2 linked regions of the Solanum lycopersicum genome follow. The protein of the gene in region 1 interacts with the protein of each later gene in a biochemical or structural test. Links are inferred from orthologs where the notes say so. Each region holds a gene or a part of one and is shown in the gene's direction. Other genes may lie near its edges.

Region 1 (4,291 bases):
ACGTGTAATGCCATGTATGTGTGCCCTTTTAAATTATGTTACTGTATTATTTCTTTCTCCAGGAGATTTGTCATTTTGTATATTTGTTTGAATTAATGCTATAACGAAATATTGGAACATACTGTTAATTAATGTTGACTGGATTCAGCACTATGTTTCATGTTGCCATCGAAATAGAAAAGAAAAAAGAATGAGAGGCAAAACAGAGTTTCTATTTTTTTAATTACTGTATTATTATTTTTATGATATGAATATATTCTTACGGGTGTATTTTGAGAAGTTACCCACAATACAAGTTTGCTTTGCCGACAATCATATTTCTTTGCAAAAATTTCATAATAATTCAGTGTAGCAACTTTTTTAGATCAGACGAAATAAAAATATACAAAATAAAGTATAAAAAATTTCCCCCATTAATCATTTACTCAAAAAGAAAAAGAAAAGGGAATTTAGTCAAGATAATCAATATCTTAATGTTCAAACAATTAATTTTATACAAATATTAATTTACATATTTATGGTATTATAATAATTTTAATTATGTCGATCTAATTCATGGCATGTTATATAGGATATTCATTGTTTTCTTTTCTGACTGCATGATGAAAATTTCACTAGGTATTTATAGGACAATGGTAGATAATAACAAATTAATAACCTAAAATGAATATAGTAATTACGGTTTGATTTAATTGTGCTCCATAGCAAACATTAGCCAAAGTTTGTCAGTCGTCTCTCTTCTAAAAATCTCGCTCGCCACTCTCTCTCTGCTCGCCTCTCTCGCTTTATATACAAAAGTGTATAAATTGTATTTCTGTTTTGTATAAAGCGAGAGAAAATTGTATATACACATGCAAAAAAACATAAATCTTCGTGTTACATTTAATTATACAATTTACAAACATTTTACTTCAATTCAATTATAGACAAATGCAAATTTTATACAAATATTATAGCGAAAAAGACCAACGAATTATACAATTGCGAATTATACATTGCAGTGAAATACAATTTTCTCTCGCTTTATACAACAAAAGTATATAAATTGTGTTTCTATTTTTGTATAAAGCGAGACAAAAACATATATCTTCTTCCTCTACACCTATAATTATACAATATACAAATACATTTTACTTCGATTTCAATTGTATGCAAAGTAAAATTTATACAAATATTGCAGCGAATTATACAATTACGCATTATTAATTGCAATGAAATAGGATAGCGAATTATACAATTGCAGCGAAATAGGCTAGCGAATGATACAATTTAGGCCAACGAATCATACAATTATATATGCATAGCGAGACCAGCGAATTATACAATTTAGGTTAGCGAATTATACAATTGTATATATACAGCGAATTATGCGGTTATATGTTTGCTATGGAGCGCAATTATGCAAACTTTGTTATACGATACAAATATGAATATTTTGTTTGCTATATGTGCAAATTATATATAAATTATATGTAATTATACAATTTTTTTATTTTTAGATGAGAAATAGAAACGCAGATAGTATGTGGGAAGGTGTAGCAGGGAAAACGTGAGACTGCAAGCTCCCCCCCCCCCCCCCCACCCCCTACGCGATCTCAGAATTTTTCTTCCCCTGCTTTTTCTTTGCGGATTATTGAGATTTTTCTTTCTCGATTGATAGATACTCTTCTCAATAAAGGGATTTATTTAGTATTAGACACCGTTTCACTCTTTTTGCCGCTTGGACATTTTACAAGCATCTAGATCTGCAGTTCCCCACTGCTTCATCCATATTACTTCTCAGGTCAGCCCTTTTAATGCTTTTCAATTGTATCTAAAATGATGCTTTCTGCATACATTTTTTCTGTTGTGTTAGTGCATTGCTAAAATTTAGTTAATCGTAGGATCTGATTGATACTGTAATCTGCACCTCTTTAATTTCATTGCACCAGAAATGTGAATTTAACTGTTGAAGTAAGCCTGAATTTCTCTTATCCAATTTTCTCGAATTTCATTTTCTTTGCGAAACTGGTGATAAACCTCAACTGCCATCGGGTTTTCTGGAAAAAAAAATGGAGGAGGGGGCAATTTCTACTAAAGCTACATTGGTGTGATCAATGTGAGGTGGGTGATACAGAGAGAGTCTATTATGATGTTTTGAATCTTGTACTAGCTTCGGGTTAATCAAATTAGCTTGACGGTGGATCTTGCTATAAAACTTTTATTTACTTACCAGAATTTGGCATTCAAATGTTGATATTTTTGAAGCCAATGTTTGTGTCTTTTTATCTCGATTCTTTAATTTCAATGCGGAGTTGCGTGATCCATATTAGTGGATTATTTATTTTGTGTTTTGTGATGGTTACTTATTGCAGTTGATGGATGAAACAGTTTAATCCCTACTTCTCAGAAGCTAAAGAGGAAATAATGGAGGGAGATATTAGTAGTGGGGCTGCAGATAATCACACGGAAGATGCTAGCAAAACAGAGGCACAGTTCAATAGCTTCAATATTGAGAGTGATCATGTAAAGGATAACGGAATATGTGAGAGTCACGAACATACAGGTGATAGCCATGATGATCTTGTACAAATGCTCGTAGAACTTAATTTCCAGAATGAATATCTGAAATCTCAGATTGTGGGATGGCAAAGCATCAACATATATTCTGATGACTCTGGTCAACAAATTAAAACGGCTGCACATGAAAATGTGGCAAGTGATAATTCAGAAGACCTTAATGAGAAGATCGAATCTTTGAATAGAGAACTTTTAGAGGAAAAGCAAACACGAGGTGCTGCAGAGGTAGCACTAAAGCATCTTCAAACTCTATATTTGGAAGCTGACACAAAGGCCCAAGAGTTGTCTGTCAAAGTTGCTGAAGGTTGTGATTTGCTTTGACTTCCATTTTCTTCTTCATGTTTGTTGAATTCAACATCAATATGGAACTCGGATTTTATGATAAGTTCTAAATGTTGGTGATGTACTTCCATTGTTAGTTGCAGATTTTTTGGTTTTCCTTTTTTAGTTTCAGTTGACAAAGAAGATATGCTATTCTGAAGTCTATAAATGGTTTGTTTGAATAGTACAAAATAAGATGGATCAGGAAATAAAAGAACGTGATGAGAAGTACTCAGAGCTAGACTCGAAGTTCAACAGACTTCACAAACGGGCAAAGCAGCGTATTCAAGAGGTGCAAAAGGTAAATTCTGAGACTATCCTCTTTTATTTGATATGTCTGATGTCTTTCATCAATTTTTCATCAAAACTTGGTCAACTTTACAAAAGGTGTTTTACTTCTACAAAACCTTCCGAGTTCTAGCAAAACCTTGTATAGATAACAATATATTCTACAACAACAAATGAAACTGGAGAAAATTTTTGATTATAGATGGTTTTCATCTCCTTAAAATGTTACTACTCTTTTCTTTCTGAATCGTCCGAAGATGCAAATGAGGCTTCACTTCCATTTATCTTTCTTCCTTATATCCATCTTCATTGCCCTTCAGCTTCTTGCTGCTTTTGCACTAGGAGTCACCCATGATATATTGAATAGGGAGTACCGATTTTAATTATGACATGAAACTACCTGCTAAAATAGACTTGAAAACTGCATTTTATCTTAATGTCCAAATGTAGTTCCTGTAGGATTGGGTGACTTTTGGTGAGGACCATATTTTGTAGGTTTTTCCTTTTCTGGTATACCACTTGTATAAATCCATGATGACCTTGTTATTATCAATGAAATCTGTTACTTGATAGAAAAGATGCAATTAAATTTGGACATTAAGATAAAAATGTGGTGGACAAGTTATTCAAGTTGTACATTAATTGCTTACATCTTTTTTAATTTTTAAAGAAAGAATTACGATAATTAACTATTTTTTGTTGCAATTCTGTTTCTTTAGGAAAAAGATGATCTTGAGGCCCAGTTTCGTGATGTCAATGAGAAATCTGAGCGCGCATCCTCGCAATTATCTGCATTGCAGCAAGAGTTGGAGCGCAGTAGACAACACGCTCAGGAGGCACTGAAAGCAATGGATTTGGATAGGCAACAGTTAAGAAGTACAAACAACAAGTATGTCCTCCTTGTGAACTTAGTTGACACTGCTTCTTCACAAGTGATTTTGATGGATTATCTGTTTATTATTTGGATTAGATTTGAAGAAAAAGAAAAAAAGAACAAAGAGATATCATCAGAGCTACCTGTCGAACAACTTCTTGATTGAGCTACAAGATTACCCCTTGAGATCCTCAAGTGTCCATATACTAAATGAGAAAATAACCTTTTAACATAATCACCTAACATTTT
Region 2 (4,210 bases), on another chromosome or scaffold:
AGTCTCTTTTGCTTAACATTTAGTATATGATATTTACTTTTAGTTCGACTAATTTAAATTCATCTATGAAGCATTTTCATTCCTCGTGCTTGAATGCACAATCTCTAACTAACGATAGACATATATATATATATATATATATATATCATTCACCCTACCACATCTCTTGACGAGATTTCAATCTAATTCTCTATCTAATATATAGAGATGCATGGGTGAAAAGTAAACATGGGCTGATTGGGCCAAGTACATAGATGGGCTTGAACAAATATGTAAAACAAAAGAAATGGGCTTAGAACAAATATGTCCAAACAATATCACAACAAAAGTTCCCAATGTGTTACTATGAAATTTGCAGGTATTGAAAAAAAAAATCTTTCTTAGGTTTCTATTTTTTTAATACCTTTCGAACTATTGATGATTAATGTGAAGGTAATTCTGTGTTTGATTGGAGACGGAGTTTAGAAAGATACAACCTTTGACATATATCGAAATATCATCTCGAAAATTTGTGGTTTAAATATGTTATTTTATATAGCAAGTTAGAAGCGCATGTCATTTAAGATAAAATGAGAGAAATAAAATTTTAGAAATCAAAGTATGAATTCCGTATAATTGAATATTGTTTTCCACTATGTAATATGTATGCGACGATCGCTATGTTTTTGGAGCAGAGATAAAGCTAGTTGAGGTTCGTGAGTTCGGATGAATAATTTTTTCGTGAATTTTGTATTTGTACTAGAAAATTAAGTATGTGTCTGTGTGTGTGGGTGGGGGTGGAGTGGGGGGTGGGGGTGGGGGTGGGGTGGGGTATGTGTGTGGGGGTATATTAACTAAAAAAACACTAACAAGATTGATTGACAATTTAGCGGTAAAAAAAGAACTATGAAAATGCTTTTCAATCTAGAGTTTTGAAAACTCAAAATCTTGGCTTCGGCTTGCTTTTGGGATTCACTAGTATCATCCTCGTTATTCTTATTAAAAATGAACTCATGATTATTTTTTAAGGAAATTAGTCTAGTATTAAGGATAGTTAAAACTTAAAATATAAATTTCAGAGTCAGAAATCTGTTTATTTTTTAAACGAAAAGACACAAAAGATTGAGATAAGTAAGATAGTTCCTAAAATATTATAGTCCTTTAGGGCTAACAAAGAGTTTTCGACTCAAGCATTTCATAAGTTCAACACTCCTAAAATTGACAACACTTGCTATCTCTCATAGTATTTCTAGCCGTAACCTAAATTATTCTAAAATTTATTTATTTTCATATAATGTGTTTCAGCAACTATAAATATCAGTATTAAGGATAGTAAATATTTAAAATACAATTCTAGATTTAGGTTTTTTTTTTTAAAGACAAAGAATCCAAATTGGTAATATAGTTCCTTAGGGCTAACAAAAAGTTTTTGAATCAAATACTTCATAATTTCTAACACCCCTAAATTTGACAACACTATTATCTCCCTTGTTATGCTGTGTCTGACGATATCCTAAAAAAATTCTAAAATTTCTTTCTTTTCATATTATATATTTCATTAACTATAAATATCTGAATGAAATTTCCTGAAGTAGACAACACGTTCAAAACTATTTTGTATTTTTTTTCATGAGCACTATTATCAAATCTTTCTTAATTTTTTTTTATAAATAATTTTTTAAGAATCAAACCCAGTCTTATGAAAAACATTTTTGATTGAAAAATATTTTTCGAAAAAAAAATAAAAAATAAAAAAGACCCAAATCTCAATTGGCTAGTCCTATATGTGTTTTTTGGTTGATCCAATTGACAATTTCTCTCTTCTAGCTTAACCCCAAACACTAATCAAGTTCCCAAATCAGCTGGTAATTCACTTCAATGAAAAATCTAGCTTTTTTCCTTTATTGGGTCACCATAAATTTGTCTAAACATTCATTTTTTTTGTACAATTTTGCCTTTTGCTTATTGGGGTTCTTCAAGATCTGATCTTTGATTTTGTATATACAGAAAAGCAAGCGAAAGGGGGGAAATGGGATTAGTGTTTTCACGATTGTTTTCTTCGTTATTTGGAAACAAGGAAGCTCGGATCTTAGTTCTTGGACTTGACAATGCTGGCAAAACAACAATTCTCTGTATGATTTACTCCTTTTTATGAATACCCTTTTGCTTATTTTTTGATTTGAATTCTGGGTTTTCATATTCAGTTCGATTAGTATGATGATTCCTTGTTTTTTTTAATCATGCAGATCGTCTTCAGATGGGTGAAGTAGTTTCCACTATACCAAGTAGGTTCTTTTTCTTGATTTCTCTTTCATTAATCCTTTCAATAGTTTAGTGAAGTGAAAGATTTCTTGGGGAATAGAAATGGGGGGAGGGGATTATAAAGTAAGGAATCAAAGTCAAACCAACTGAGCTACTAAGATTCCCCGCATTACTTATGTTATTCTCCATTCAGATTTGTTTGTTTCCTTTATGCTTGTATCAATCTTACTCAAACCAAAACAAATACTATAAACCAGTTCTATGAAAAGAAATAAGATGTGTAAAATGTAAATCAACATAAGAGTTAGTATAGTTGCAATGCTTTTGTGTACCAATGTTGATAGATTTCATTTGAGAGTATTACTTAAAAAGACCGACTATTTATGATGCCGAGTTGATTAGAGATAAATTTAGTCATTTTCTAGTGAATATGATGTATAAAAATGAAACTGTGGTATTGTCTATTATCTCTTTCTTTTTGGGTTATGAGGTAGAAATGTATCTACGAAATTTTATGTGCTATCTATGGGTGGGAAAATCATCCGCCAGGCAAACACTAGTAAGGTGTACATCAACATTCAGATTTGAGCAAACCCATGCTTCAGTGGGATTTGAACCTTGGCCTCTACCTTAATCGTTGAGCTATAATTTCATTGCATTTTCTTACATTCTTTAAGTGAAGAGAGGATATTGGTTTTCTTTGTATGTTTGTCCTGTTTTTCTTGTAATGGATGGTTTTTGTTGATTTTCATGATGCAGCAATTGGATTTAATGTTGAGACGGTGCAGTATAACAATATAAAGTTTCAAGTTTGGGATCTAGGTAAACTGATGGATTAATTTGACGTTTGGTGCAAAGTATTTGTTCTATATGTTCTGAGTTTTCCTGAACCTTAACTAGATTTTGTTTGAATAATGCTTCGCTTTCTTCCCAATTTTGTTAGGAGCTCAATCTTTTCCAGCTTTATTCTCATAAGATACTCATTTCATGCTCTTTGCTTGACGCTTATATCTGTAGTAAATGTTTCCCTTGAAATTTCCTTAACTTAAAATAAGTTTTGTTAGACAGGATGGCTTCAGTTCTTCCCAGTTTTTTAAATTAGTTCAAACTTTTGCAGCTTTTCGCACAAGACACTAATTTCACGCAACTTTGATACTTTTACATGGCTATATATGTTCAATAGGGATGGTCACAGGCTCTCAAAATTAAAAAATGAATAATCACTTCATGTAAATTGTAGATCTTTCATTTATCTCTAAATTAAGCTTTGTGTCAGTATATGGGTCATTGGTGTCTGGCGTATTGTATCCTAAAGCTTGCACAGAAAGGCTTGAACTAGTGTTTAGTGAAGTGGGAGGAGAGCTATTAGGTCTCCAAATTCCAGCAGAGGCAAAAAAACACTAGGTTATTCTTTCCATTTGCCTAAGCCTTAATGAACTTACCTGACCTCTGAGCTAGTTAGAGGTAACATCATAGGAGGTGCCTGGTTAAATTGTCAAGATGCACACAAGTTGGTCCGGAAACCACCTTTTTGTTTAAAAAATGTATCCTAAAGCTTAGTAATTAAGGTGCATGTCTTGACAAAGGAGGGATTACCTAGTGGGAAAGATATTCCACCTCCAACCATAATATTGGGTGTTGAGTTACCAAGGGAGCAAAGTGGGAAAGGACCCCACCACCATATGCTTCATAAAAAGTGTGCACTTCAGATAAAGACATGCAAAGCAATCTCAAAGTGGGAAAGGACCCCATCACCACCCCCGCCTTGTCCGGAGTTTCTTCATTCTTAATCTGATCTCTCTTTATTTGTCCACACATCAATCTCAGCATCCTCATTTCTACTACTTTCATCTTTTGAACAAGGAAGTTTTTGATTGACCAACACAATGCCCCATACAACATAGTCAGTGTAACCACCACATGGTAGAACTTACCTTTAAGTATAGATGACACATTTTTAACCGTATGC

Evidence for each region. The genes of interacting proteins can lie anywhere in the genome.
Region 2: the proteins of protein GRIP (region 1) and ADP-ribosylation factor 1 form a complex in vitro, tested with the Arabidopsis thaliana proteins (2 studies listed by BioGRID). The link is inferred for Solanum lycopersicum from reciprocal best matches to the Arabidopsis thaliana genes ATGRIP and ARF3.

The regions. Positions count from the first base shown.
Region 1 is NC_090801.1:62,706,617-62,710,907, reverse strand, and holds the start of protein GRIP, read left to right. Parts: upstream 1-1,491; 5' UTR 1,492-1,783; intron 1,784-2,354; 5' UTR 2,355-2,361; coding exon 2,362-2,863; intron 2,864-3,065; coding exon 3,066-3,181; intron 3,182-3,887; coding exon 3,888-4,057; intron 4,058-4,291. UniProt on the Arabidopsis thaliana protein: Golgi matrix protein playing a role in tethering of vesicles to Golgi membranes and in maintaining the overall structure of the Golgi apparatus.
Region 2 is NC_090806.1:3,081,583-3,085,792, forward strand, and holds the start of ADP-ribosylation factor 1, read left to right. Parts: upstream 1-1,410; 5' UTR 1,411-1,844; intron 1,845-1,986; 5' UTR 1,987-2,008; coding exon 2,009-2,111; intron 2,112-2,225; coding exon 2,226-2,264; intron 2,265-3,000; coding exon 3,001-3,063; intron 3,064-4,210. UniProt on the Arabidopsis thaliana protein: GTP-binding protein involved in protein trafficking; may modulate vesicle budding and uncoating within the Golgi apparatus.